4 linked regions of the Lepisosteus oculatus genome follow. The protein of the gene in region 3 purifies or fractionates together with the protein of the main gene of each other region. This does not show direct contact. Links are inferred from orthologs where the notes say so. Each region holds a gene or a part of one and is shown on either strand. Other genes may lie near its edges. The genes, in order: git2a, wipf2b, nck1a and wasb.

Region 1 (7,715 bases), on a different chromosome or scaffold from region 3:
GTGTACAGTTAAATAAACTCCTCCTGTTTCATAGCGGCTTCTCAGTAAGACCAGACCTCAAAAGAATAACTTAAAAGTCTTTGGGGGCGGTCTTCTGCTGAATTTCAATTAAAATGAAGAAAAGGAACACCTTTAAAGATGATTAGTCATTGTGACAACGAATTCACAACATGTCGGCCCACTGAAATAAAGCAAGCAAATATTTCATTAGTTTCCATAAACTATAAAATGTGAACACACATTTCCCATTTTACTACAGCCATGCTCTCGATCATACGGTTCATGAAACTCTTTCACACATTTAAGAACGTAAGAAAGGTTACACAGGAGAGGAGGCCATTTAGCAAATTGAGCTCATTTAGATGCTAGCAGGCCTAATTAGTCACTTTGTGAATCTGACCTGGTCATTTTTTAAAAAAGATTCTGTCCTCATATTTCTTTTGATTTAGCATTTTACCTTCTACCTGGAATCAGATACTTTGCACAAGAGAACATACAGTATGGGGGCGAAGGGGTAGCACTGTGGCTAAGGATCTGTGCCTGTGGCCGGAAGGTTGCCGGTTCAAATCCCGCGGCCGGCAGAGGAATCCTACTCCGTTGGGCCCCTGAGCAAGGCCCTTAACCCCAACTGCTCAGGGATTCTTATTGAAATAAAGTACTGTAGTACTGATGTTAGATGTGCTTAAATAGAATTAATTCCAGGCCATTTCCAGATAAAGAAAAATATGCACAATTTCATGCTGCATGAAATTTATTATTCTCTAAAAACAGAGAACAATTTCCACAACACATAGCTGGAAAGATCCTCTGTGATGTAAGAGATGAATAATTCCACTTTGTGTTTACGGTTACTGTATATCACACCTGATTTTTCTGTTGATTTTGCAAGAAAGCTAGGCAGCAACTACTTTTTTTAAAATAAAAGCCAATTCATTAAAAAGCCAACTCCTGCACGATCCTTGCTCATTTACTTGGCATCCTGTTCTTCCTGTACTATTTACTAGACAACAGGACCTTCTACATGTTAATACCAGCTGGAAGGAAGCAGTGTGTTATGAATCATACTACCAACAAGCGTTTATTCCAATGTGTTTTTTTAATACATTATACCATAACATTCAGAAAAGGGAAGTAGCCTGTGCCTTAGGGAAATCTGCCTACACTACACTCACTAACAACTTCTGCATTGCTACAGTATCTGCAGTTTAGGGAGTTTGGTTTCGAATGGTCTCAAGATTCTTCAAAATTTCCAGCATGCTAAGAAAACAAAAGGCATCCATTTATACTTTTTTTTTAAAATGTCGGTCTGTCTACGGCTGTGTGCAAACAGGCCGATTCTGTTAGGCTGAAAACAAAAACATGCAAGATCAGAACATTTTGTTTCAATGGGTGAATATAATAAGTTAGGTCATGTACACTGTCAAAAAGATAGCAAAAATCTGGTTTTGGCTACACCTAAGAAATCCTAGTTTAATTTCCAGTGAGAATCAGGGTTATTACTAAAGTTAATGTCTGTTGTCTATTTAAATGCTGTGGTCACGAAAAATGAAAGCCTACTTTTATCAAGACATTTCTGTTATTCTGTCTTCCTGGGTATTTCAACAAAACACCTATAAGGTGGAATTCAATTGGACTGATGATAAAGGAGAAGGGTTCAGAGCTGTTTTCAGGAATATCAGTATCTTCCCAAAGTCCTGCAAATGTTACATATGAAACCTGATTATTGCTTCAGCATTCTTATCATTTTGCTGCTTTTAAAAGTACTGTCAGTCTCTCTTAAATCAAGTAGGAGGTTACTCAGAGGACAGCGGCCTTTCAGCTCAGCATCTATCTGACTAATTACAGGGCAGATTCCAACCTGTTGTCACCATCAATCTGCCTACTCTACTGTATGCCTACTTTACTTTCCAATCACAGCTGCCATCCAGCCAAAAGTAGAGATTCAAAAAACATCTGTAGTGATACACAATAAATTCAGTTGTGCTATGAATTTAACTTTGTGGCCATAAATGTAATCACGTCATATTCCAGGCACTTTATGACTTACTGTAACAATGCGCAATGAATCAACTTCACGGATTTTACACAAAACAACACAGCACAAAACATTTTCACAGTGGTGTAAATGTCAGTCATTGTCTCTCACCACATAAACACACAGACATAATTTGTAACCAAAGACCTAGTCTTTAGTCAAGCTTCTGAAAACGATATCCTCCCCAAAGCATTTGTATTTAACGGTTTGTAGTGATACTTGGAAACGTTCTTTATTTGAATGCAAGTAAATGGAGTTTGTGTTTTCCTGCCACTTCACCGACCCAAAAGATTAGCTCAACAACACTCGTCAAATATGAGTCTGATTTGATAGCTACTTTGACATATCTATAGACCAGCTTCCAGCCCAGAGATTAGTTCATCAGAACAAAAACGGCCCACAGCACTGAGCCCTTCTGACTTCACAACGACGTTTTCTGTGCAATTCTAACAGCTGCAAAAATCAAATCGCCTACGAGTAGCAGTAATACAAAATCAAACCGGAAAAACACATTTACATCCCTGCGTCCAGAAAGAACGGCCCTTTTTAAGTCACCCAACAGTTTCCGATTTCCAGATCCCATTTATATGTATGCATAATTACAACAGGTTTTGCAAAACCTCTTAGAAAAATTACAAAGCCAGCGCTGTACCTCGCAATTCAACAGATGCTACCTGAAGGTTAACGCCACTTTTACACGAACCACTAAAGGGTGCAATATCTTGCTAAGGGGGTAAGAGGCAATTAACATGATGACTGCAGAAATTGCCTCTCTTAGTGAAACAATGATGACTGTTAAGTCAACTCTGTTGGTGTTTTTGTCACTTACCCGGAACGCTACAATCGGCACAGACCTCGCTGTTCCGAAGCCGCTTTGACATCCTTATTTTCCAAATAAAAGGCCCTTTTTAAAGGTCAGTTAAACGTTTTAGTTATTCTCCTATATTCATCTGATCCGCGGTTTCCGCTGCGACCTCACTATTACGTACACTAAGAAGAAAATCCTGACGGGCACAAAATAATTCGTCTTTTTTCCGCCTCCCTTTTATTTAACACAACAGAGACGGGAAGCTGCTGCTATTCTAAGGACGGAAACTCTACACCAACGTGAACGCGCACAGTAGCCGAGGCCGTTCGCATTCAAGCGCGGAAACTACGGAATATTCCTAGCGTTCCGGCAATGGCGGAGATAAGACTCTACGTAAGTTACGGCTCTTGACTTCGTCAGGCAGGACATTATTAAGAAACACCTCCGCCTGTCAGAGTTCTGGGTCACGAACGTAAATAAAATCGTATTCTCCAATTCCAAATACGTAAGCGCCTCCTGACACCGCACTCCCAGTTAGGTAAGTTGCGTAGTGTATAGGATGTGACAATCTTTTGAGTGTTAAAATCTGAAACAAATATTTCAAAGCATTAAATAAATGCAACATTGTGAAATGTATTAGGTTAGTGTTGAATTAATTGTAACAATTCAATGTGATATTTTAGGCACCTGTTAATTCTTTGAGTGATAACTCCCCCTGAGTAAAAAATGGTAGTGCCTTTGTTTTGGAACTAATCATTTTATACACATATGCGTTTTTATCTTCTGAATAAAAAAAGTAAAATGATTTTTAGAATGGCTTCCAAAAACAACAAACTAACAATGTTATAGTGAAATACCTTCTAAGAATTGTATTGAACACGAACTTGTGTTATTGCGGACACCCCTACGTAGATCATAATAGTCCTTACCAGTCACTTCCTTGTTTTTCAAAAGTTTTATTTTGAAAAGTTAGCGTCGTATAAGTTGTATTTTTGTGATTTAATGCACGCGTCCACCCTTGGCTAGCGGAGACGGCCTTTGTCTTCTCTCACGTTTCCTCGGGATAGGACATCAGCGTATTGTTTCATGCCAGTTCTGCGAAAACTCAGCTTTACGGAATGTCCGCCACCGAAGACTTCAGGGTTAAGTTTCCACTCCATTCTTTAGTCTGGGAAAATGACTATAGAAAATTGGAAAAAGAGATCACGAAGGTACGTACATAGAGCTGTGGCGTGTTTATTTTAATGACCGCGAGTGTGCACTGACTTGGGTGAGATGATCGCCTTTCCTCGCTACTAACTCAGCACGCTTACTTTTGCGACTTCAATTGCAGTACCTTTGTACTTAGTTTTAGCCTTGCAAAAAAATAATAATCGATTTCCTCGTCATTTGAACACTGTGGGTTTTAGCAGCAGCCTTGACCAAAATGTGCGCCTGATGTGTACTGCGCTGTTGTTTCTGAGAGAAGAGTCCATCTGTGTCCAAGACGAGATCATCTTGGCTTGATGGATGTAACATTGCTTGACGACTTTTCTATTAATTGAAGCCGAGAGATACGCAGTGATCTAAGTTTTGAATCTGTAATATTCCCACACACAGTTTGGCCGTTTGGTGGAACTGTAGTGTATACGGGCTGTTGTGAAAAATTAAGTTCAATTGTTATTTTCTACAATGATTCCTCTAGTTTGGCAGGGTTAGTAGTTGTAGTATTAAGTTTTCGTCTGAAAGTGAAACGAATAGGTCTGATCTGTCAGGTTTATTTCACTGAATAATATTCATGCATTAATTATAAGTGATGTATAAATGTGTTTTTTTTTACAAAACAATGCCTGTGTCTAAATCTTGCGGTTTTACAGAAACGTTGTGGAAGGATATTTCCTCCTCTGCAGTGCCTCCTATCTCGCAACACTGGGTTAGAATATTTATTGTGAGATTGTGTGCTCAGAGGAGCAAGGGGGGGGGGCTTTTTTGTTAGTAAGTTTATAGAAGTAATTGACTTTTTATTTTTTTGTAGCACAATATCGAGGAGCCTGACCCTCGTGGCCGTACACCCTTGCATCTCGCAGTGTCTTTGGGGCATCTGGAGTCAGTAAGAGTGCTCCTGAGGCATTGTGCCGAAGTAACCAAAGAGAACGCTAAGGGCTGGACAGGTGAGAGAACCCCCGAGTTATTCTTAGAGCGCCGGAACATCTCTAGGTTTTAACAGGGGGTGGAGCTGGTGTGAACTTATACCATGTGATTGATTGTGGATTGGAAACCCATAAACATAATGGGACACTCCTGATATTTGATCTTCAAATAAATTGCACACTCTCCTCTTCAATCATAGTTTTCTTTTTTCATGCTTGCAATGTGGTACAGGAAATACCAGCAATAAATAAGTAGTCATTTGCATCAGTTGGTCTGAAAGGAATTGCTGACGCGTTACGCTTGCTATTAGAATCAGCCCCCACATATTGGCAGACACTTGCTGTAATTAATAGATCCAAGTGAGATGCAGACCAAACTAGGCTTTCCAATTGCTAAATTAAAAGAGCAGCTATAACAGCTACAACAATAATTAATACACTGACATTTTCCGCAAACAAACATGCATCACAAAATATCTCTGGGTTTGCACATAGCGTGCAATTGAGCTGAAATTAAGCACGAGGGCTTTTGTTTGAGGGTCTGGTTAAGCATTGCTACCTCACTGCTCTGGAGCCATGGCCTCAACTCAGACCTGGGGTGCTGTCTGTGTGGAGTTTGCATGCTCTTTCCATGTTCACATGGGTGTTCACTGGGTGCTCAAAGACAAGCTGGCGGGTTGATTGGCTTCTGGGAGAACTGGCCCTGGCATGAATGTGTCTGTGTCTGTGTGGGTGCTGCAATGGACTGGTGTACCCGGCCTTGTGCCCGTTGCTGGCCAGCATGGGCTCCAGCTCCCCCACAACCCTGAAAAGGAAGAAGCGGCTAGAAAATAAATAGTCTACACAATCCCCCTGCAGAGGATGGACCTCTGCAGGGGGATTGTCATCTGGGCGTTTTAAGGTGCGAATTGACTGAATTCATTGAATTATTGCCAGCAGGTTTATCCCCCTGCAACTCACAGCGGGCGGCCCACTGGAGCTCAGCAGGTGTGAGCCTGGTCAGTACCCGGATGGGAGACCTCCTGGGAAAAACTAAGGTTGCTGCTGGAAGAGGTGTTAGTGGGACCTGTAGGGTGTGTTCACCCTGCAATCTGAGTGTGTCCTAATGCCACAGTATAGCGTGCGGGACACTTTATTACAAAAAAGGCGCCGTCCTTCAGAGGAGACGTGAAATTGAGATCCTGATTCCTCGTGGTCATTAAAAATCCCAGCGTAAACCTGGTGTCCTGGCCAAATTTCCCCCTGGCCTTTACCAATCATGGCGTAATAATCCCCATTTCTGAACTTGATGAAGCCATCACTCTGCTCTCCTCCCCACTGACAGCTGACATGCGGTGAGCGTTCTGGCACACTATGGCTGCCTGTTGCATCATCCAGGTGGGGGCTGCACATTAGTGGGGGGGAGTCCGCATTACCTGTAAAGCATTTTGAGCAGAGTGTCTAGAAAAGAGCTACATTAGCGTTAGGGTATTATAATGATGTAACTGAAGGTTTGTAAATGAGCTCAGCACTTACAGTCTGCGGTGCTCCTCTTGTGTCTGTGCATGGCTGTGCCGTACTGGCAGTGCTGCAGGAGGCAGTGAGCACCGGGGACCCAGAGATGGTGCAGCTGGTCCTGCAGAGGAGAGACTACCTCAAGGCCTCCACTGCCCTGGCAGGAGTCCCAGAGCTTCTGTGCAAGATCCACGAGGTGCGACACTCACACTGCCCGTCACTTCATCAGCAGTGAACCACAGCTTAAAAAAACCTCAGTGCTTCCTCATATATATGCTGTTTCCCTGTCCTGTGGTACCTATCCATTAACTCTTCCCAAGATGCAGCCGAGTTTCATGCAGGGAAATCTACTAATTAGACGTAGTTTAGCACTGTTATGAAAGGGGACATTTTTAGTGTTTTTCAGAATGTTATTGGGAATAAGGTACTGTCTGAAAGCAGCTGTACATTTTTCACAGCTGCTAAAAATCACTTCTCTGCTGTTACAGGGTTTTTCCATATATCAGCAGTTTTAATATCTTTTCTGTACTACCTGTGGGCTTTATAATGAAGACCTGATAAATCAGGAACAAACGAAGAAGGAACGTCTATTCTTGGAATATTTTGTAATGACAGTATTGTTTAGGTAATGCTTTCAGAAAATGTGTAGACCCCTGTAGGACCTATATGTTTAAAACTATGATATCCTGAACACTCTGTGACCAACTAATGTGTATTTTTATTTTTAGTCTCCTGATTTCTACATGGAAATGAAGTGGGAGTTTACGAGCTGGAGTAAGTTAATCACATTGCTAAAGCGCCAACATTGCCTTTGGGTATATTTAGGGCTCTCTTTGTATTTCTGTTAGGCTTGTTGAGAAAGAAAGATGCATCACAGTGGTGTTGTCAGCTCCTGGGTTCTGTATTCCTACAGAACCTGGAGTGCTACCTGTGTAGAGTTTGCACACTCTTCACTGGCCCATTGGGTTTTCAGCAGGTGCTCTGGTTTACTCTCACAGACCCAAGACAAACTGACGTCTGGGTGTACAGTATGTGTGTACCCTGCGATGGACTTGTGTGCTGTCTAGGGTATAGTCCTTTTCTCCCTGTTCGTGCTGCCTTATGCTGGTTATCTCGCTGGGAGCGTATGAGGGCAAAGCAGTCACTGAAAATTGATGGATGCTGTATACTTCCTGTTGAACTTTAATCTGCGATAAGTATTTATTATCTATGAGCTAATTTTCTCTTTGAATACCCGTAGACTGATGAG
Region 2 (7,677 bases), on a different chromosome or scaffold from region 3:
ACTGCGGGTGTTTCAGTAGACCTGCAGCAGTTTCCGCAGGGCACGCAGTTGCACTTGAGACATAAAACAGGTGTTCGCAGACAGATCCCGTTTCCATAGACCCTGGCCCCACGGAACCAGCGCAGGCTGGGCCGAAGTGTCGCTCAGCATCCTGAGGCAAGGACCCCTACCGTCAAGTCACTACATTTTCAGCACAACCGCCAAGGACAGAGGGGATGTGTATTTTTGTGTATTGTGTACACACAAATCATGCCAAACTTTTTTTTACCGACAGTCCAGTTGATCCCAATGGAGAGCAAAGGCAGCACCAAGGCAGGAATGGCCGCAGAGAGCCCTGCGGGGAAGAGGGTACCTTTGGCCTTGTTGTGCCTGCAGAGATAACCAAAACCTAAATAAAACCGGGCATCTACGATTCCACTCTCCGCTGCCTGGCACAACATGACACAGCTGCCTCGATCTGTTCTCGCTCAGAGCCGGCCGTCACCGGTGCACAGGAGATTAGAGACTCACCAGGCCGGCACGTCGCAGGACAGCAGTGCGGCTCAGGGAAGGGCAATTTTCCTGGCACCAGTCGAGACGTATTCTGGGAGCGTCACAGAACATCTCTGCGTAGGGCGACCACGACACCCCGCCAATCCTCACCCTGCTCCCCACACTGACAGACTTTCAACTGTGACACACTTGTACGAAATCTGGAGGCCTCAGTGCGGTGCGACAAAGGCGTTTCGCATGCCTCTCAGTGAATGGCAGCTCGTCCCTCCATCCCATCCAACTGGGGGAGAAGCTGCCAGTGATGCGTTTCCCCAGCCACCAGAAGGTAAGAAGCAGACTATGACGCCACTGTGACAGTCACGGAACCACAGATTACAGATTCATTCTGCAGTCCCGAATGCTGAAACCAACATTTTTCTTCCGAGAATTAAAACGCGGTTTCAGTTCTGCATCTCGTCACAGGGGAAACTGATCGTCAGCAGGAAAAAGCGCTTAAGCTCCCAAAGTCGGCCCTCTGCCCTTCTTCACCGGCACCAAAACACGAGCCCGCAGTCTCGGGAGGGAGCAGGAGGCTCTTTACGCAGAGGGTGGTGGGAGCGGGAAACGTGCTGATTGTTAGTGTTGTTGAAGCCGATACACTGGCTTCTCTCCAGACACAGCTGGGTGAAATCCTCCAGTCAGCACAGGGGGCTCTACTGTACACCCAGAGGGGGGCGGATCAAGCTGCCCAGCTGTTCTTGGACCGGTTCTCATCCAGCTGTTGCTCAAAAGACCCTGGGACTCAACGAACTGCAGGCCGCCAAACACTTCAGAGGTCCAGAATGACCTCTCTCCGACTTTCAGCCTTTCCACAGGTCTTCCTCATGATTAAGCGCGTTCCTCGTTTGTCACACACCGCAATGAAAGATCCCAAACTCCCCCAGCAAACGGGCTATTAACCAGATCGAATCTTCCAGGTAAAAAAAAACAACAAACTGATCCCGTCTCAGTGCCCTAGTGGTCGTGGGGAGATATGGTCACCCTGTCTGTTCACCTGCGAGGAGCCATCTGTGCTCAGTGTGCCTCAGTCCACCTACGCAAGCCTCTCCCCAAGTCCCTTACCCTGATGACAGCGAACACACCTGTCTGCGCTGTGCTCCTCGGCACATTCATTTGGACAGTATCTCCCTCCTGCTGGGCAGTGCGCTCTGATGAGTGTGACTCAACCGGACTGCCCCCGGCCACCCGCGATCACGAAGTAACAAAACCTGTCACCTTGTTCACTTACCCATCACCCCTCCACCTCTAGCGCAGGACCCCCAAACCCCCTACTCGGAGTTCATAGTCGCGGAGGCAAATTAAAATGAGAGCTTTTTAGCAAAAGCACTTTGGCGTGTTACTGAACCACGGAAATAACTGCGGGGACAGAAACCCACGGCGAAGCCAACACGGAGTGGAGGTGACACGGGGGTCCCCACCACCCACGATCAGCGAAAAGGGGGGCTGGTTGCTCACACCTGAGCGAGAATTAAAATAGGTAAAAAGGAAATATGTTACCGCGACTCAGCCTGCAGTCACGCACCGGGATGTTGCACAAGCAGGAATGCGAGCAGCTGTAGTCACAAAAACAGCGACCCGACACCCGGGGAACCGGCCGAACCGGAGCCGGGCCGAACCGACCCCGCTTTCTCACGTCTCCTTTGGGGGAAAAAAAAACACCCACGCCGCCACACCTGCCGTGGCCGGTATCGATCACCCTGTTACTCACAATCAGCTCTTATTGATCATCAGAGGGAGCGGGGCTGGCTGGGCTCTGGCAGTGGCCCAGAGAACAAGGAAACAACAGAAAACAGGTACAGGAACAAGTAACAGGTTTATTCCACGCTGATAAAAGAAGAAAGAAAACACAACGTTTCGGCCGTGGAGCCTTCTTCGGGTGGGAATAAACCTAGGACTTGCTCCTCTGCAGCCTACGCATGCTGACGCAGCTGCCCACCTGAGCTGCTTCAAGAACAGGTATAACCGACACGGCGACCCGCCCCCCGTGTGTCTCGCACACGCGTGGGTAGGAGATTCACGCACCTCCGTGCCTGCCCCCCTCCCAGTCCGGCGGCGGCTGCCCGCCTCCCTTACCTCTCCTGCGGCTTCGGCGGCGGAGTCTCTCCCGTCCGCTGTCCGCAAGCACACCGACAGGGGGGGGCGCCGGGCGGCCCGCAGACCCGCAGGCTAACACAGGGGCATTGTGCCCCGGGGCTGGGGGGGAAGATTTCACCTGCTCCCCCGCGCTGGAGGCCCGGTGAGGTTGGGGAGCCGCACTCGGCCTGAGAGTCTGGACCGCGGGCTGGCTGAGCCGAGCTGAGCCTGCGGAGCCGCTGGTCACCGCGGCCTCAGTGACTCGCCGTCGGTCCCCGGTTTCCCTGCCCCCTCGCTCGGTTCACAACGGGCCCTGTTTTCTTCCTCTGCTCCGTTCCTGCGTTTCGCGGCCCCGTCGGTCTCCTCTCCCGCACACTGTGTCGCTCCTCCGGTGGAAAACCCGGAAATGGAATCTCCTGCATAACAAAATGGAGGAAGGGAGCCGATTTCAAATAAATATGTGGAGGTGGAGGGGGGGGGACCGAACCGTCCCGGCGAGAGCCGAAGGTTGACGAGAGTCGCCGAACGCCGGGCGCGGCCGAGAGCGCCTGCGCGGGGCGGTGATGACGACAAAAACACGAGCCCATAAGGGGAGGGGGTGCAGCCATGTTGGTGAGGTCACAACACACGCGTTTACGATAACGACAGCGGTTTCTTTTATTTTGCATTATTTTGTCACTCGAAGGTTTTGTTTCATCCTGGTTTTATTCATGTAATGGTTACAAATATAACATTCATTTCTGTACAGTTGCTGTTTTGAAGCATAATGTGTTTCCAGTCCAGGAGGAAATCTTGAAATACGGCCGAATGTGTGTTTGGCTCGCTGTTCCTTCATGCTGGCACTGGGAGCACAGGAACTGAGCGAGACAGGCAGACAGGGCAGGCTATGTCTGGGCTGTGGTCACTCATCAGTGTCTGTTTCTGCTTGTTGTCTCTGACACTGGTCAGACACTTGGCCAGTGTGTTCTGTTATTTTTGAAGCCAGCAGAGGTCCAGTTTTTCCCAGTAGGTGAGGTTGTGATCTTTGGTTTATATCACCCCAGTGTCCCCCACTGGACACTGTCAGGCTCTGTGCCGCACTCTGTCGCCTTCATAGTCTCATTCTCTCCCTCTTGCATCTCCTTCTCTGTTTTACTTATTCCTCCTGTTATAATAATAATTGCTTACACTTATATCGCACTTTTCTGGACACTCCACTCAAAGCACTTTACAGGTAATGGGGATCCCCTCCATCACCACCAATGTGCAGCCCCACCTGGATGATGCGACGGCAGCCATAGTGCGCCAGAACGCTCCCCACACACCAGCTCTCAGTGGGGAGGAGAGCAGAGTGATGAAGCCAGTTCAGAGATGGGGATTATTAGGAGGCCATGATTGGTAAGGGCCAATGGGAAATTTGGCCAGGACGCCGGGGTTACACCCCTACTCTTTTCAAGAAACACCCTGGAATTTTTAATGACCACAGAGAGTCAGGACCTCGGTTTTACATCTCACCCGAAGGACGGTGCCTGTTTACAGTATAGAGTCCCCGTCACTATTCTGGGGCATTAGGACCCACACAGACTGCGGGGTGAGCGCCCCCTGCTGGCCCCACTAACACCGCTTCCAGCAGCAACCTTAGTTTTTCCCAGGTCTCCCATCCAGGTACTGACCAGGCTCATACTTAGCTTCAGTGGGCTGCCAGTTGTGAGTTGCAGGGTGATACGGCTGCATATCCTGTTCCTCTCTCCTCCCTCATTCCTTCCATTTTCCTTTTCTTCCCTGCCCCACCCCGTGCAAATTCAAACAGCTTTATTGGCACGACCGGTAAATTTACAGGGTTGCCTCAGCAGACACAGTCAATAATTCAGTTCAATTCAAGGTACTTTATTGGCATGACTGATGAGTACACTCAGTGTTGCCAAAGCAAAACAAATAAAATTAACAAAAACCAAAACCTACAGACATTTACAATAAAGCCACAATCATAAGATATTTACATATAAACATATGGAGCATTATCGGGAGACAGGCTCACTGTTCCTCAGGCTGGGACAGGAGATCACATACTGGGCTGCCAGTTCAACGGAGGTGTGGGAATTCTGGGATAAGATGTGTCAATTTGGGGAAGAATGTTTCTCTACTCCTAGAGTATCTGTCACAGTGCAGTAGGAAGTGCACCTCTGTCTATATTTCTCCCCGCTGGCAGTGGGAGCACAGCCTGTCCTCTCTGGGCAGCCAGGTCTGGTCCTTATATGGCCAGGCTGTGGTCACTGAATCTGTACTCCGTCAGGGTGTGTTTCTGTTTGCTTTTATTTATCTTGGTTAAATGTTTGGCTAGTGTGTATTGTCTATTTAGGGTTCTGTAGAATTCCAGTTTGTGTTGTGTTTGTGTCCCAGTGTGTGAGATATAAGATAACTTTATTGACCATATACAATTTCTTGCATTAGGAATTTGTCTTTTCGCAGACCCCAGCTTGCTCTCCATGAGACACACAGACAGGGAGAGAAGCTGGGGGTCAGAGCACAGGGTCAGCCATTTATACAGCACCCCTGGAGCAGTTGGGGTTAAGGGCCTTGCTCAGGGGCCCAACAGAGTAGGATTCCTCTGCCGGCTGCGGGATACGAACCAGCAACCTTCGAGCTACAGGTGCAGATCCTGAGCCACAGAGCCACCCACTGCCTACTGTTTGATCTGTGCTGTGAAGTGGTTGGGTCTGAGTTGTGGTGCTCTAGCAGTGCTATATCTCTCTTCCTATTTCCCTCCTGCTCTCTTTCTCCTTCCCTGACTCCCCCTGTCCTTCACTCTGACTGGGCTGTGGTCCGCCTTGCATTTCAGCTGTCTGTGTGAATTTCCATACCATGCAAAACCAGCTGAAAGGGCAGCTCTTTGTTCCGTGGTGCTGTTCTGTTTACTCAACTAACAAGCCTGCTGGAGACTCTCCAGCCTCATTGTCAGCTGAGTCCCACCTGGAGATCTCAGAAGGCTAAGCAAGGCTGGGCCTGGTCTCTCTTTGGATTGGAGACTTCTAAGGTAATCTGAAGTCGCTGCTGTGAGAGATGTTTTGGGACCAGTGGGTTTCTGTCTTGGGGTGAAGTGGGTCCCCTCCTGTGTGTTAAGCAATTTCGGATCCTTTGGGACAAAAAGCTTTCTGATTTGAGTAACCAGGTTTGTAAAGGTGAGAGATTGTGAATCCATGCAAACCCGTGCAGTGGTGATTGGTAAGACTCTTCTACAGATCTATGCAGTTATGTGCCAAAGTATAACGAGCATAGACAGAGCTTTGTCTTCCTTTCTGTGCACAGAAGATAAGACATCACAATGCCACAGATTGTTTATTTTACACATCACACTGGGAATAAAAAATGAATGGTTACCTCAGTCCCATGCAAATTCACAACCCTCACATTACTTTAGATCTTATTCATGCTAGATGATATTTGCATTCAGCCATCAGAGCCTGCTACTGTAGCCTCAGTCTGTCTCTGACTGTGCTGCAGGTGTCGCCTCAGTCTGTCCCTGACTGTGCTGCTGCTGTAGCCTCAGTCTGTCCCTGACTGTGCTGCTGCTGTAGCCTCAGTCTGTCCCTGACAGTGCTGCAGGTGTCGCCTCAGTCTGTCCCTGACTGTGCTGCAGGTGTCGCCTCAGTCTGTCCCTGACTGTGCTGCAGGTGTCGCCTCAGTCTGTCTCTGACTGTGCTGCTGCTGTAGCCTCAGTCTGTCTCTGACTGTGCTGCAGGTGTCGCCTCAGTCTGTCTCTGACTGTGCTGCTGGTGTCGCCTCAGTCTGTCCCTGACTGTGCTGCTGGTGTCGCCTCAGTCTGTCCCTGACTGTGCTGCTGGTGTCGCCTCAGTCTGTCCCTGACTGTGCTGCTGGTGTCACCTCAGTCTGTCCCTGACTGTGCTGCTGGTGTAGCCTCAGTCTGTCCCTGACTGTGCTGCAGGTGTCGCCTCAGTCTGTCCCTGACTGTGAAGCTGGTGTAGCCTCAGTCTCATCCCTGACACAGACCTACTCAGCGCAAGACCAGACAGCCTCAACCTGTAGTGGCTTCTGTCTCACACTGCTTTGAAAATCACTGTAATAAAAAGCACCCTAGCAGCTGTCAGAGAGTTTAGGAATTAAATGGGAACCAGAAAAAGGCCAGAAGCCAATCTTTGTGATGCGCCACACGCAGTTTATTCAGAGCGAAGTGTCAGACACTCAAGACCGTCAGGTTTTTGGTCATCATCGTTTTATACATGAAGACAATCTGCCAGCTTCTCCATGTTTACCTGTGTTTTACACCACTGAGCTTAAAGGGAAGATTGTAAACACTGACTTCTTTACAAAAAAAGGAGAAAAAGTTTTTTGTATGATATACAGTCTTCAATTTCTACACCTTGCTTTTACGATATTAATGTACAAACCATTAGCATTTCTGACTTTATCAAAAGCCACATGTACAAAAAAAATCTCTTTTATATACCATCTCTGCTCATACATAAAATAAAGATTCCATCTCTGTTGCTATGTACATATTTACAGTTGCTATGATACAAAGCACGCGGTAGCCAGAGGGGTTGCACCAGGAAGTGTGTGTGCACAGATCATCACAGGACGAATACGAGGCTTCCCGATTTAGGACCCCTGATGGCTACCGCATTAGCTGTCCATTGTAAGTGCCTGATTCAAATTAGGAAAAGGTAGCTGGGATCTGGGATCTTTGCATCTCTCTGGAGAAGAATACTCCGCCACCCTACGTCACCCTGGCCAGCACTGACAGTGCAGTGTTGGAGCAGATGCCCCTCTCAGCACTGCAGTGCCTGTGCAGCAGAGGGCGACAGTCAGCCAGCTCGGTTCAGCGTTTGGGCTGCCGGGGTGGGCTCAGCCTGCACAGCACAGTACCGGGAGCTGTAGTCGCAGGAGATACTGGCCCTGCAACTTCTGTGCTCCAGGAGGATAATTCAATTAGATCTGTGCCTAGCTTGCACAGCAGTAGGAGACTGACAGTTCAGTTCCATGGCTCTGTCACTGTCGGGAATCTATTCGTTATTTACATCGTCACCCCCATCCCCAATCTGTGATTAGAGCTGCTCTGACCGTCTTCCCCAGTGT
Region 3 (7,837 bases):
ACAATGCTGCAAAGAACTAACATCCCATCCAGATAGTCTTGTACTCTCTATTTGAATAACGCTACAGAAACTAGAAACTTCAGCTACAGTATATGCATGACTCAGCATGATGAAGGATTAAGCCTAACTTACTAAACTCTTATTCATTGAAGAATTCTATGAAACATAAGTAAAAGAACAGAAAATTAAATACACAAAGACAAACACAAAGCCTAGTTCATGTAGTCATTTTTTAAAAATCAAAACGCACTAAAAGATGATAACTGTATACAACTATGGTTTGATACATTCACTTAGAATATATCCCAGTTTACTAGAAGGTGATGTTTACCAACAAGAGACATCAAAAGGTTGAAGCCAAAAACCAGCGTAATCAGTTTGCTGAATAAATCAAATGATCAAATGCTAGCTGCTGAAAATCACAAATTTTCTCAAAATGATTTATAAAATACTTTTCAAGTATTGGTGATATATCACCACCGTAAGCCTTATTAAGCAAAGGGGATAGCGATTTGCAAATCATTTAGATCTCATGGAGATGAGCCTGCTTATTAAGAGCCAAGCTTGGCCATTCGGAGCCGTGCAATGCTGTAAGTCAGAATGTTTCGATGGAAACTTCATGAGAATTCAAGAGACATGAACTTAAAATAAACATGTTGCTCAGCTCACCAAACACTATGATGTGCAGATAGAAAAGTGATCTCTGCTGCAGGCAATGAAACAAAAAATGTGAAAGAATCAATCATATTGTTTCTTTTACATTGGGAGCATTATGCTTTTTCGAGTATTGTAAAATGTTATAGCTTAATTCCTGAACAGTTTTTAAACTGTTTATTTGTTACCACATAAAGACATTCCTACTGTTCCTGCTATACACCAGTGTGTTTCACACTATCTGAAGCCGAATACTAAAGCCAAATACTTCTGGCTTCTACTGTTGCGTTATTCAGCAGAAGACATATGAAGGCATAAACTGCAATATTTTTTCCACTGTAGCGATTAGAAGCAGAAACAGTGACCACATTTTTTTATTACAGATTCTCCACAGCCTTTAAGCATTTAACATTATTAATTAAGGTTAATCACTAGCGTGTTAACGTTAGCCAGCATGTATTCTCATTATTAAAACAAAAATAAACTCCTTCATCTTCTGGCATCCGATTGTCAAGCAACGATCTCATGACGTGTGCATTCTGTGGAGGAAATCACTCCCATTCTGACACCCATTCAAATGAAAAAAACCCATACCATAATCTTTGGCAACATCTATAACCGGAAATCCAGACCAATGATAAAGCACTGAACATGACACAGATTGGATTTATACATTATCAAGAAAGAAATATATAAGCAAGTCGCTGTATTATCAGATCATTCTGTCATTACTGTAATACTGGACTGTTTCCTTACCATTAGCTGTTTCCCTAGCATACAGTCCATCTTGTTTTGAACAAAACAAAGGTTTTGCTCGCAGTGATTTTCAAAGGCTCAACATCATGGGACTGGCCTCAGATGGATTTCGGTACTTTAGACTAAATGTCAACCAACATTAGGTTTCTAAAGATAACAATCTGGAGTTCACAGTTAACTCACATATTTCAGGCAGGTCCAGCACAGCAGGTCCAAATGTTAAATGACACAGCGTTTTAATCGTGAAAGAGCTATAACACTATACATGGGAGATGTTATTCCTTCCTCAGATTCCCACATTTTGTTGTTTACAGCAGATGTCGGACTGGGGGATGTTTGATGGCCTTGCTAGGTTTTTGGTTTGTTTTATAAACAGTAGAGGTTAATAGCAGGAAGGGCAAAAGCCATAGAAACACAGCAGATATCCCTGCCATTCTCATGCAATTGCAGTGAAACAGTCTTTAGTATAAAGAGACTTTTTCAAAACACTTTGAATCTGTGTAGGCAGCTCGACAAACGATTTCAAACAAACCAAGCAGATAAAAGCATTCCCATTAAGATTATACGGTATACAGTAAGGTCACCGATATTCTCTCTTAGAAAAATTGTGCATAATTCGTTAAGACCTTTTCTATTTCTACTGAATCAGTAGCAAAACGTAGAATGCAAAGCAGCCAAAATCCTTTTTTTTTCTTTCCTTCAACCTCCGACTTTCCGAACTAACTTAGGACAAAGCCACGAACCAGGATCGAGGGGGGTGGGGGGGAAACTCAATTGGTAATCTGCCCGGCAGAATGTGCTTTGCTTTGTTCGAAACTGCTTTTTTTTTTCAAAACCAACATTTTCGGCTTTATTACTTTTGAACAGCAGTTTTTTTTCCAATTAAGCCTTGTGCATAAAAGGTACCACAATGATACCTATTTATCCCCATTCTACAGAGCCGCGTCCGTAATTCGCTGGAGACGTGGAGAGCAGTAACGAGGTTTGCAGGACTGTTATTTTCCCCGAAAGCAAACAGGACTAAAACGTCACCTCTCGTCGTCGTGGATAACACAGTCAAAGCACCCATCGTCTTGTGAAAAGAAAATTCGTTTAAGTCCAAAAAGAAACAAAAAGGAGTTGTAATCCAACAAAACCATTAGTTCAATTTTGAGAAATGTATTGTTGATTGTTCCATTTTCAAATAAATCAGCGCATTATAACTTCACCAACTTGTTAATTCCTTAACATCTGCACATGAAATACACATTTCACACGGGAAATCGTATCTCTCTTAAGACCGACAAAAAATAGCAAAAAGCAATTTTGTATCTCCTGTATTTTCTGGTTTTAATACAATATAAAGTTACACAAGTTTCCATCTGTAGCAGATAGCGTTCTACAACACAAGACGTTGACATCTAAATCAAAACAAAGATTTTTATTAAAAAAAAATTACTCATTTCAACTTCCTACCTGAGCCCGGGGGATCAGAGCCAGTTCCCGAATTTCAAATACCAAAAGACACAAATTCTCAATAAAACGCGTAAGCGTACACAAACACGTCTGACCAATATCAATACTCCTCTTGCACCAGTACGTCTCGGCACTCTTACTCCACACAACAGTCAATGTTCTCTGCAATCTAACTTGTTTCCAGAGGCCTTCCCGTGCTGCCTTCGATTGGCTGTTTTGGCTGACGTCCTCTTTTCATTGGACAAGCGCCCCGTCTGTCATGTGCGCCCAGCTTGTGCAGGGAGGCTGCAGAATAAGGTAGGTACTGTAGCAAGTTCTACTGTCTGCAAGCAACAGCCTAGACATGGAGAAGCCGCTGTAGATCCCGTGTTACTGCGGGATCCCCGCTGGAGAGGGTGAACGTTGTATCGGCAAATAATGTTGCGATACAGCTCTGCACTGGGAAAAAAAAAACGATTTTGAGTCCGACACATTGATCATGATTTAGTGAATACGGGGCTGTAACTTTTTTCCCCCCGAAACTTGTCACGTCATTGTCTGACTGCACTCTTTTTTTTTATGTGTTAACCCCTTTGCTTTTAGTAGGGATGCCACCACCGATGACCAGGCGGAGAAATTTAAAAAAAAGTATTGATTTCAAAAGAGCACTTTTAGTGATGACAAGAGGTCCTTCGCAAAACATAACCTTGAGAGACACAAAGGTTTAGAATGTATTCCTCAAGTATCGAGATCCATGCTATATTTGGAGTAGTACTGTGTTTTATGGGAAAGTACATACTGTTTAATCATTTGGCAGAGCAATATGGGAAAATCAGACAGTTTGGGTAGGACAGTTATTAGCGAAATACATGTTTTGACATCAATTTCGCTTCGGGATAAATAAAGTCTTATCTATGTTTTATAAACACATGGTCCACCGTGATCCTGTATTTCACTAAGCTTTTTTTAACATAAATGGGTGTATACAGTATGTACTGTATTAGTATTGAGATCTGTGCAATGTTAATAATTCGATAACTCGTACAGATTAGCAGGTTTGTCGTTTTACTGGTGAAATTCAAGTAGATAACAATTCGCTCTGTACCTGTAGTTGTCCTAATTTGTTATGTAATTAATATAACGATAGCAACGGGGGTCGCTCTCACTGCCGTCTTTCTATAAGAAAGGGACGCGTCTGCTGTGTGTTTTATTCTACAGGCACTGAAGATGAACGACGTAAAACACTGCATTTTAAGATCCAGTGCTCACTGTATCAATAGTGACTATTCACTTGATTGATGCCACATTGCTTAATCCTCTGTTTTCAATGAATTCTGTGTGATGACCTAATTCTGTTTTAGGCTTAGCAAGCAGCTCATAGAGTCTGCCAACAATGACATTTAATAATGCAGAGAAAAATTAAAAAAAATACAAGAACGCGACACAATTATCTTAAGGACATTTGCTAACAGATACCATGGGATATATTTAATTCAAAAACAGATGTCTTCAGAAGAGGCTGACTGGTAATATTCAGTCATAATGGCCTTGATTACTGGCTAGTTTGTACACTTAGCAGACTGAAATCTCAAACTATCTACTGTTGGATCATATTGCAATGTATTATAGTGGGTGGTTTTCCATTGCTTAAGACAGTATTAACTGCCAGTTAGATTTTGTTTGGTTGTTCTTATTTTTCTTCAAATGTAAAGGGTGGGCTTGAAGTTAATTCTGTGAAGCTCCCACCCTTACCCACAGTACTATTAATGACTCCCAGTACATTGTACAGCCTATATGAAGCATTCCTAAGTAAGTAGCAAAGCTGAAAACCTGATGGATTCTGCACAATGATAACTTATCAAAGCTTGTTCAGGAGATTTGTCAGGATTTTGTGGTTACTATAATAGGAGAAAACAGACAATGAACTTGAAAGCGAATTTCTAAAAAACGATTTCATCCTTCGATCATTACAATATAAAATCAGAACCCGTTAGTCCCACAGATATCATGTTTCAAGTCTGTTCTGTGCTACACCAAACCAACATGAATTTAACTGCAGGAGATAGATGATGGTAGAATATTGTAAAAACATATTGCAAAGACCTTTCAGATGCCTTTACTGAGTCAGTGTTATTAGAAAGCCGATTCAAATACTTTAGAGTGCTCAGCAGAAGGTTGTTACTGTTTTACTGAAACCTTAATCATAAGGTCTTGCTGTTTGGGTTGATGTTCAGAATGTTTTTTTGTTTATTTTGGTAACAGAAGCAAAATGGAAAAGCACTTATACAGAGATAAACATTTAATTTCTACATAAAAAACAAATAAGGTTTATTTTAAAAACAAGGCTTAGTTTATTTATTCTGATGCTGCATTTAACTGGGAAAGGAAATTACCATACCATACGATAACATCTATGGATTGTGTCCTGTTCCTTAGAATGTTGTCTAATGATAATAATGTATTTCATATTGCAAAACGTCTTTGGTGTCTAATCTAGTACCACTAATGAGTAGAAAAAAACTTTGATTGCTTTATAATTGCCATTTTCAAGAAGCGTGGTGACATTTAATGGTCCCTAATGTGACACAATGTTTTTCACCACCAGCCCACTAAAATGGACGCTTTTACATCAAGTGGGATACAAGAAATGTCTCATTTCCAGTCATATCTAATTTGTTTTGTTAAACTTTTTCTTTTTCTATGAGCAATATATCAAAATGTAACATGACATGGAATGCAAAAGCTGAATCAGTATCAATGTAGGGATAACCAGCTGTTTGTTTTGATACTGTTAGTGTCAGGTTTGGGAAATACAACTTGTTTCTAAAAACCTGCTGCTCATTTCAAAACACAGAAACTGTTTTTTGTCTGTTGTAAGTCATTGCTTCAAAAAAAGAGATGAATTGTTGTTCAGGTTTTTCTTTCTTAAGTGTTTGATTCCTGAAATATATTTTCCTATAAAACATGGTGTGGAGATTACTGTCAACCATTTATACAATGAAACATTTTATTTAAGTTTGTATATCTCTTTATCTCTTTAATATGAAGCAACTTTCAGGCTCATGATGTTTTTTAAAGCAAGAATGTCACCCAAAATGTCTACATAGGACCAAAATAAAGCAAATAACTCAACTAACAACAAATCGTAGTTAAAGCACACATACTTCTTTGTCGGTAATCTTAAATACTAAAAGGAAGAGAGTGTTATGTCCACTTTCAGCTTGTCTTCAATCATTTTTATTGACCCCATTTCACTTACTGGCTGTCATTGGGTGTAATACAAAATACAGTATATCCCAAAACGTCAAACTAGGAATACAATATTGTGAATGTTATGTCTGAGTACTTCTTAATGCTGCACAAATATCCCATATACAAAATACAAAATCTAAGGTCTTTGGTCTTTTTGTAAAAAAGTAGAACTACCCAAGTTTGAAATAATATGTGACGCCTTAATTACTTTGGATTTCACTTACTTTCACTGGACTCCACTGATATTCTCCAATAATGTGATGTGAATTGTGATCTGAAATGAATCTCAAAGTTGTGAAGGCAATGAGGTGAGTTTTGGAATATGGGCTGAATTAGGGTTAAGGGCTAGGGTTCGGAGAACCATAAGGCTGTCAGTAAAACTGTGTCTCCAGTGCTGAAATTAGGAAAGTATGATATACAGATAGAGGTTAGCTTTAAAGTTTGGTATGTGCCCATTTTGAGTTACTGGCACTCACTGGATGCAATACTAAATCTTTCCCAAAAATTCAAAAATTATAGGCAGAATCAAAATGCTACTTATTCTGTACAGTATATATAGTAAATAATGAAAGTTAAAGTACAAATACTACTTCAATGACAGTCTAACAGTATATAGTAGTCTAACTATAAAAATGTAAAACTAGCCCTGTAACAAATAATATTTGAAGCCTTACCCACATTGGACTTCAATATTGTTCTTACTTACTCCAGTGATATTCTCCCGAAAACTAAAAGTCAATTTCAGCAAAACACAAACTAAATTCTTCATGGTTATATGGCATTTTCTGTCTTGGATGTGAATTTTGGTTTCAAATTAAAGAGAGAGAAGCAGACATTGAGGTGAATTTTGGGGTTTGAGTTGAATTAGGGTTATGAAAACGATAAACCTCTGACTAATACTAGTCTTACAGTTTCTCAACTATTAAATTAGAAGAGGAAGATATTCACATTGAGGTTAGCTTTAAGTGTTGGTATGTGCCCATTTTGGGATACTGTCTCTCATTGGAATTTATACTAAATTGTTAGGAAAGTTTGGAAATGTAAATATTAATTTCACAATGTTGGAAAGCAGAACTATTTAAAGAGACTTCTAATAAGGATATACAGTATTTTATATCAGAAGATAATACAACTGCTCGTTTTAATTTACAGTGTTATTTTGAGATTCCCTTTTTGTAAATACTAGTAGGGACTATTTCTAGTAAACTGAAATAACACTGTAAACCAAAACAAGATTAAATATAAACATACAGTAGGCTCCAGCTCCCTTGTGACACTGAATTAGAAAGAGCGGTTAGGAACTGGTAGATGGATATTATTTATTTGTTAAATGTATTATTTATATACATGTTTCAAAATATACATGTTTTCCATGGCTGAGGTATAGTGATGCTGCATATCATTTGTGAAGTTTAATTGAGTTTAATTTAACTCATGAAATAGAATAGCCTTCATGTTGTGATTCTTGTAATTGAAAGCATGTTTAATGTCACTACACCTCTATGTTCAATTCTATGTAAAGTTACCAAAATCTGTCTGGGATCAAAATGTATCTATCTTTCTGTGGCTGTGGTATTTGCCATTCCACTGGGAAATAAATGTCATGTAAGTAAAGCCAAACTAAATAATACAATTAAAATCATCAGAATGCGTTGGAGCTCACTGTATTATTGCATTGAAATTTGTAGCTTAATGCTTCATTATGGGGAATACTTTACCTGTGAATGATTTTATGTTCTAG
Region 4 (7,741 bases), on a different chromosome or scaffold from region 3:
ATCTTCATCCTCCCGGGAATCTTCTACGTTCGCATCATTCCCAGCGAGAGAGAACCGCTCAAGTCACGACCCAAGATCCAGGTAGGGAGCCGTGCTGGAGTCTGTGGGGGAGGAAAAGACCCGGGTCTCCGAGAGAGACCCGGTGTGGAGCAGCTTCACATGGGCGTTTTCCTGTGATCACAAACTGCTGCTATCCCACCAGCTTTCATGCTCGTACCTGTTTATGATGGCTGGCCTCTAGTGGACAGTAAGCTGCAGCCTTGCACTAGGCAATGGCAGTATGCTCATATCGATACCAGCTGTCTCCTCCACAATCTAGAATTGTTCTCACTGTGCCCCCCTCCCCCATCTCGGGACTGACAGGTGCTCATCGCCTGGAGGATTCTGCCATCAGCAGCACCAGGGGGGAGGGCGCCCCCCCCTCTAAATGGTGCTGAGCCACTTCTGTATCTCGGGCTCCCCACTTCGCCGGGCTCCCCACGTCCCGACGAGTCCCTGTCCCAGTCAGTGCCGCTTCTCCAGTGGCTCCGTGTAGCGTCAGTCACGCGCTGCCCCAGGCGCTGGAGCGCATCTCTGGCTCTCCACCACGGACCTGCTGGACAAAGACAGGGGTTTTACCATGCCGTGAATAGCTGGAAGGGATTTCCCTTCCTCTGACTGGAGGTGAAATCTCACACCTATGTGTCCTTGTGGCTTGGTGTTATATAAGCTGTTCAGACTTGCTGGCTGGGCAGGATGGTATCACACCGCTGGGAGGAAAGACGTGGCTGGCCATACGGATGATGCTTCTGAGACTGTGCCCGTGTTTCTGCAGGGCTAAGCAGCTGACTGGTCTCCTGAATTTTGCCCCAGTATGAGACAGTGGGTGCTCTTAGGTGACAAACCAGGTGCCATGAAACACTTTTTGCAGCACAAAAATCTGCACGAGACACACAGGGGTTAGGGGCTCGACTAGTGCTGATTAATAATAACTGCATTTCCTGTATATTGCTTGTGTCGTTGTGCAAAAGGCCAGACCTCATTGCGTTTTTTTTCCATACTGTACGTGAGGCTTCTCAAGGGCCTTTGAGGAAAAAGCTGCAGCCTGAAGCAGCTCTTTCACTGTCGAGCCCACAGAAGCTGCCGCTGCACAGACCGCGGTGAGAAACACCAGTTGCGAATGTGTGTTTCTGTTCCGCTGAAGGGGAAATGCTCGCTGCTTGAAAGTGAAACCGGAAGCCTGCTGCAGAGACATGTTAGAAGTGTAAAAATCGCTGAACGCGTTCGGGGCTGCTGCAGCGCCTGTGCGCCCTGACCCTCAGGCCCCTCTTCCCTCTGTGTCGCCGCAGGCAGCCTGCTTCGCCGCGCTGGGCTTCATCTTCATGGTGATGAGTCTGTCCTTCATCTTTGTGGACTGGGTGCGGGGGGAGAGCAACAGCCACGGTGGGCACTAGCACCCCTCGACGGCGCCTGGGAAACACAGCGACGTCAGAGACCCCACCTGCCCCCCCCCCCACCTCCCCTGCCCCCACCAGCTCAGCCCCAAGTCCTTCAACTCGCTGGGAAAAAAACTGAAAAGGGCTGGACCACCCGCCACCTGCCCCCACCCTGCCCATCTCAGTGTCCATTTCCCCCCCTCCTTCACGCCAGGCAAGGCTCTCTGCTGCCCCCTTGTGTTCTGGAGGAGGGGCACACACCTCCTCCCCACAGTTCAGGTGGGTGGCGCTTTCTAAAACAGAGAACGGTGTTATAAACTCCTGCAAAACCCCAAGAGAGGTCTGTGGTTCAGGAATTAATAACAGAACAAGTGCACGAGCATCCTAGCCGATGTCGTTCTTGTGCTTGATTGCCAGACTTGTCGGTGAGCGAATCATATCTCTGGACGGTGTTCCTCCCCTCACACTATGGTCAAGAGTCTTAATTCAGCTGTTACTTATTTAACTAAGCTGTTTATTAAAATGGCGACACAGAGTTAAGTTATTTTCCTACGTGACCTTGAAAACAGATCAGCCGTATTCTCCAGGCGGCACGTGTGCTTGGTGCAGAGTAGAGAGGTTCTCTCTGTCTGAGCCTGGGATGGCCGAGCACAGCGAGCTGCACAGCGGTGAGCTCAAGGAGCCTCTAACTGTGACACTCGACCAGCGATCAGACAGCTGCTTCCTGTTACAAGGAAACACAGACAGAAACAGAGATATGTATTTACGTGAACAGTTCCACCTAGCTGAAGCACACTTTACACTCCTGTCAGAGATCCTGTCCTTGTCTGAGAATTCAAGAGCCTGTTCTTTTAGCACAGTTCTATGAAACAGCTCATTAATCTCCATAAATCTCCCAACTCCTTTCTTGGCGCATTTTCTGCCCAAGTGAGACTTCCTGCATCAGTTTCTGAAAACAGACAACACTTCTCGATGAGACAAAATGACATGTACGAGCATTTCAGCTGCATGTGGAGAGTCGTCATCTTAAAGGTCATTTTTTTATGTTATTGCTGTTAGGACAATGGAGCTTCCCAGTGGCTCAGACAGTACAGTGGCTTGTTTGGAGGGCTATAGTCCAGACACCACCAGTGTGACCGCAGACAGTTGCTTGAGGGTTTGTGGGTTTAAGTAAGAGACAATATGTCCCCAGTTCTGAGCACAGCAGTGACCCCTGCTGGTGTCCCTGAGCGGTGACACTGCGAGAGGTCTGCCCATCGTATTTTAACTGATATGCATGGAGGCACTGGGCAGTACTGCCCACCCACCCCCCAGTCCCAGAGAGCCATAGTTCCTCGGGTGTTAGGGTTCACCCTAAAATAATCAATTCCTAAACTTTCGTACACTACGTATGCAGAGGATTCAGGCAATTAAACAGCGCAGAGACCATTTGAAATACAAAACAGCCAAGACCTCCATAGCCCAACGCCCAGAGCTGGCCATTCCTGGCTGAACTCAATCAAGTAATTGGCTCAAGTGGTCGAGACCCACGTGTGTTCCGAGTCCGCCCAGCCTTCTGAGCGCAGAGACCTGGCCACGCCCATCGCTCGCTGTCCGGAAGTCTCGACTCCCTGCGGTCCGGTTTCCAACTTCACCTTCATGTTGCCGAGACCGACTACTACAGTGTTTCGACTGCTTTTATTCGAACAATTGTATCACTCCGTTGCGATGCCTTCTACACCACTCAAACTGTATTTTTAGGAACTGTTTTTTTTACCGAGTCCTCCTGTTAGAGGGCGCAAACCTCCACACACGTAGTTCCAGCAGGGGGCGACACAAAACAACAGGCTGCTGTAAAAAAAAATGAAGTTCGCCAAGAGATCATTTCAGCGCATGCGTTTTCTCCTCTGTGAGTTTAATTTAATCGGTCTGTGAACAGTTACACATCATTTCCTCAGCAGTTAATCGGTTATCGTTATTGATGGCAGCTACAGTAGACACAGGAGACAGGGGCGAACGGTGCAGTGACGTGCAGTGTTTGGCTCATGTTCACAGGAAGTGTGTATCGTACTGATGTCTTGTCCGACAGCACAGAGGTGCGTTCTGATCTTAATAAAGGTGTCACTCCGAGTGGTCCAGCTTGTTTCTGTGTGGTTATTTTATTCCTGAGCTGCTGAGCATTGAAAACTGTTTTTTTTTCCCAGCACAGTTATAATGGGAATAGTTCATATCTGTGTCCAATTTTGCAACGTCAACTGTGAAATAACAACAACAACAATAATGATCATGATAACAATTATCATCATTGTTGTCATAAATATAAATTATGTTGCTCAAACATATAACTCAGACAGATTTTCTGTGTTTTTCAGTGTATTTTTGAGTTTCCCCAGAATTGCGTAAGTGTGAAAGATCATGCAATGCGTGGTTTTCCACAAGCTTGTCACTTGTGTCAAAATGATTGCTGTCAGGTCTTCAACTCTAAAAAAAAAAATTAGCCAGGATATAAAACTGTCACCAGACAAGTTTTAGAGGTTGTTCTGAAGTTTTTTAAAAACTTCATTTTCTGGACTGCTGCCAAAGAAACTCTGGTTCATGTTACTTTCAAAACCAAGCGTTTCTCTTACTGCAGACCAGCTGCTGGCCTTCCTTCAGCGACGTGGGCCAGGTGGCCACACGGCCTCCTCCAGTTTGTGACCAGTCTTGTGCCGCCGTGGCGGCTGGCTCTGCGGGGACGGGGGAGGTGACAGACGTCGCTGGTTTCTCACAGCACATCACTGCCTGCGGCGGAGTGGGAGACTCGCGATTGCAGGAATCGTGCAGGGAAAGCGAACTCCCTCCCTCTCCCCGACTCGGCCCGATGGCCCACAGCTCGTCATTCTGAGCCCCAGAAAGGCACGTTGTTTCAGAATGCCCTTGCTGTTCCCTCAGACTGAAAGGAAAAGCAGAGAGGGGTCTCCCCTGTCACGTTAACAATACCTAACTCGAGGCACATCTTTCCCTGAGCCAGCTGCTCCTGAAATTCCACCAAAAAGCACCCGGGCCGCCAGCAGAGAGAATCCCGCCCGCGTGTTTCGGTGAAGCCTGGCGCAGCCCGTGCGGCCCGCCGTGCCCTCGTGAGCTGCAGGGAATCCCAGGAAAGAAACGGAGAGCATGCAAATCTCCCCTTTCCCTGGCCAGAAAGACACGAAAGACACATCCCCCCCCTTCACGCCGCAGAAAAAAAGAAGAAGTAGCAGAGCTGCTTTTAAACTGTGATCAGCAGTTGGGTGCAGAAGTGTGGTCACCAGCTTCCTGTTCTCTGGCTCCTGCGCAGCTCTGCTCAGAAGGCGAGGCGGAAGCACTCCGAAGCTCTCGGCTGTGGCGCGTGCACCTTCTTCTGTGCTTCTGGGAGCAGGGGAGGCGATTGCGGGCCTAGGATTTTTGGGGTTTCTGCTTTGGGGGGCGGCCCCCCGTGTTTTCTTCAGGGAGCAGCGGGGGTGGACACCATGAGCCGCGGCGCCAAGCCTTCCAAGACGCAGGAGAGCTGCGGCAGCTCCCTGCTCAGCCCCCAGGAGAACGAGCGAGTGTTTGACGTGCTGGGCAGGAAGTGTGTGGTGAGTAGAGCCGGGTCTGTGTGCTGGGGCCCCGGCGGGGCAGCGGGGCGGCGGGGCGGTCGCCCCAGGGCCTGGGGGCAGCTGTGCGGAGGTACGTTGGGCAGCCCTGCGTGAGGGCTGCAGGAGGTAGTCTCCCGGGCCCCGCCAGCGCTCAGCTCCGCTCCGGATGAGTGGCACCCTGGCTGTCTGGACCCGACAGGTGCGAGGGTGCTCGACAGGTGGGGCCGGGTGCGACGGGCGGGCCGCTGCTCGCCAGGGCTGGGGAAGGTCTGAGGAGCGGTGCCCCGCGGGACCGGGCCCCGTGGTTCTGCTCAGCTCTGTTTGAGCCCCAGTCCGGCCGCGTCGCTTTCTCGAGGAGGGAAGTCAGAGCAGCTGCGCTGGGGCGATGCTCCAGCCTTGTGGAGACACAGGGGGACTGTAGACACAGGTCAGGACTGGCTGGCTCCCAGGTGCCCTGTCTGAAGCGCCTTCTGCTGCCCCCAGGTAACGCAGACAAGCCCTTTGCTTTGTAACTGGCACGCACACTCCCATCACGCCTGGTACAGTGCCCCCGCAGTGCCAGCACCCAGCCAGCTCCGATAGCGCTCCTCCATGTTGTGATTGACCTGTTCCCAGAGGAACGAACCTGTCTCACAGGAAAGAGGCTGAGGTCTCAGGGCCGGTCTGATAGGTATCACCTGGGTCTCTGAGAACACTACCAGTAGAGCAGGGGTCAGCTGGTCAGGTGCTGCAAGTACTATGTGGAATTGCTTTTAAAATCAAGAACAGGTGGGTAGTTCTTTATACAAAGAGTTGTGGGAGTGTTGAACAAATCGCCCTGTCATGTTGTTGTAGCCGATACCCTGGTTTCTTTCCAAACAGAGCAGGACGAGATCCTGGGATCAATTAATCTATTACTAACGACCAATCAGGCTGGATGGGCTACATGGCTCTTCCTGTTTCTAGCTCATCTGCAGGTTTCAGCATGGCTCAGCTCCAAACGACTTAACTGGCCCAATCATTTTCTTCAGCACTGTAATGAAGATGCTTTCCTCAGTCATTCAGCTATAGGCTCGGCCTTTTTTTAACCTTCCTATAGGGCCGCAGTGCAGTGGCTGTAAAGCACCCCAGGTCTGAAGGCCCGCAGGTCTTCTGCTGTAGTGTGGCCAAATTAAGGAGCTCGGTTTGCATCAATATTGCATTGTTCTTATCTCTCTTCCTATAATTCCTGTTACGGGCATTTTTCTTCTCTCTTTGTGGCTGTTTCCTCGGGTGCCAAGATAACCCAAAGCTATCGAAGTCGGTCACAGATCTGAGGAAAGGGCTTGTGGGAGCTGAAAGGACAAGGGCTGGCAATCCCACAGTGCTTTGCGCCTTGGTCACACTCTACTGGGAAAGACCTCGCGCGGCGCAAGTCCGCCTGAGGCTGGCTGAGCCGTAGGGCTAGAGGAGCAGTGAGCCGTCGGGGGAATTTTACCGTGAAGTCACCTCACGCGTGAGCCACGTCTTTCGTTCTACACAGTCTGCTGACTCCCCTGCTCCCGGACTTTCTCAAACTCCTTCAGCTCCCCACAACGGTTACAACCCAGGTTAGAAGGACTGCCAGGATCACAGATAACGCGCCGGACCCTGCTGGAACTGCTCGCGAGGAGGCGCCGGGCCGGGCCGGGCCGAGCCGCGGCTGCGCTCCGTGTTTCACGCGGGCCGGGGGGTTGCTGCCGTAAACGAGCGCCACGCGTTTCACAGGCAAGAGGAAACAACGGGAGGCCGGCGGGATGCTGGGAGTTTCATCGCAGCGATTTCCACAGCTGCTGCGTCGCGGGGCAGGGTGCACACACAGAGGAAACAGGGCGTAGTAGCACACCGATGTGTATTTACACTCCCTAGAAGTTCCTGTTTTTTCTTCTTTTAAAGCCCGAGGCCTTCAACACCGTTCTAGGAAACAAGTAACTTTCTGCAGGCCTCTTTGAGCGTCTCTTGTTCTGTCCTGGATTTAAATATCACTCCCGAGACCGTCTGAGTTTGCAGAAAGCGCATGTTAAGTAGCTGCTAGCAGACGGGTAGATAATGAGGAAGTCGACGCGATGATGCTTAATTTGTTTTATTTCTAAAGGGGGAAGCAGGTGAGGTTTAAAACCATTAGACCTTTAATGGCAGTATTTAGGAACTCGGTCACATTCTGTGAAACAGTCCTGCCTTCCTTTCAGTTTTCGTGTTTGTTGTTGCTCATTTGTTGCCCATCGGTCAAGTGGGTGAATCTCACTGGAACGTCCAGCTGCTGGACCTGTTTTGTTAGGGGGAGGAGCTTAAAAGCTGCACAGTGTCCTCAGGCCCATTGGTGGTGTGACACAAATTCTCACCCTTCACTCATTCCCCCCCCTACTCCCGCAGCAGCTCTGAAGAGCCTCTCATATTATTATTTGAGAGGACCACTCTCCGTTTCTCTGTAAAGGAGATCACATTCAGGACTGCAGCTCCAGTCAGTTTCCTCCCCTAGTAGGCTTATTCTCATTCTGGCAGGAGAGGGAATTCTGGGATTTGACTTATTTCAGGGAAAAATGTCTAATCATTGAGCATTTCTTGCAACACAGCAGAACATGCATCTCTGTTTCTGTTTCTCCCTGCTTGTCGTGGAAGCACATTTTACTGGATATTTAATGAAAATGCTTTTTTTCCCCTTGTACTCTTCCTGCTTGATTTGCTGATATTGATAGATTTTTCTGGGATACTGATTTCTAGCAAATCATCAGTGTGCTTCAAGCATAATCTCTT

What was found.
Region 1: the proteins of nck1a (region 3) and git2a purify together in Homo sapiens (co-immunoprecipitation; 3 studies listed by BioGRID and IntAct, with this or other methods). This does not show direct contact. The link is inferred for Lepisosteus oculatus from reciprocal best matches to the Homo sapiens genes NCK1 and GIT2.
Region 2: the proteins of nck1a (region 3) and wipf2b purify together in Homo sapiens (co-immunoprecipitation; 3 studies listed by BioGRID and IntAct, with this or other methods). This does not show direct contact. The link is inferred for Lepisosteus oculatus from reciprocal best matches to the Homo sapiens genes NCK1 and WIPF2.
Region 4: the proteins of nck1a (region 3) and wasb purify together in Homo sapiens (affinity purification with western blotting; 4 studies listed by BioGRID and IntAct, with this or other methods). This does not show direct contact. The link is inferred for Lepisosteus oculatus from reciprocal best matches to the Homo sapiens genes NCK1 and WAS.

The regions. Positions count from the first base shown.
Region 1 is NC_090717.1:5,720,743-5,728,457, reverse strand, and holds the start of git2a (ARF GTPase-activating protein GIT2a), read right to left. Parts: upstream 3,165-7,715; 5' UTR 2,917-3,164; coding exon 2,865-2,916; intron 1-2,864. Other genes in the region: ankrd13a (ankyrin repeat domain-containing protein 13A), read left to right, coding at 3,962-4,054, 4,858-4,993, 6,538-6,662, 7,195-7,240. UniProt on the Homo sapiens protein: GTPase-activating protein for ADP ribosylation factor family members, including ARF1.
Region 2 is NC_090723.1:9,664,348-9,672,024, reverse strand, and holds the start of wipf2b (WAS/WASL-interacting protein family member 2b), read right to left. Parts: upstream 3,158-7,677; 5' UTR 2,605-3,157; intron 2,586-2,604; exon of another isoform or gene 2,240-2,585; intron 1-2,239. UniProt on the Homo sapiens protein: Plays an active role in the formation of cell surface protrusions downstream of activated PDGFB receptors. Plays an important role in actin-microspike formation through cooperation with WASL.
Region 3 is NC_090708.1:14,744,893-14,752,729, reverse strand, and holds the start of nck1a (SH2/SH3 adapter protein NCK1), read right to left. Parts: upstream 3,022-7,837; 5' UTR 2,866-3,021; intron 1-2,865. UniProt on the Homo sapiens protein: Adapter protein which associates with tyrosine-phosphorylated growth factor receptors, such as KDR and PDGFRB, or their cellular substrates. Maintains low levels of EIF2S1 phosphorylation by promoting its dephosphorylation by PP1.
Region 4 is NC_090697.1:77,233,836-77,241,576, forward strand, and holds the start of wasb (WASP actin nucleation promoting factor b), read left to right. Parts: upstream 1-4,687; 5' UTR 4,688-4,882; coding exon 4,883-4,990; intron 4,991-7,741. Other genes in the region: slc38a5b (sodium-coupled neutral amino acid transporter 5b), read left to right, coding at 1-81, 1,329-1,433. UniProt on the Homo sapiens protein: Effector protein for Rho-type GTPases that regulates actin filament reorganization via its interaction with the Arp2/3 complex. Important for efficient actin polymerization. Possible regulator of lymphocyte and platelet function.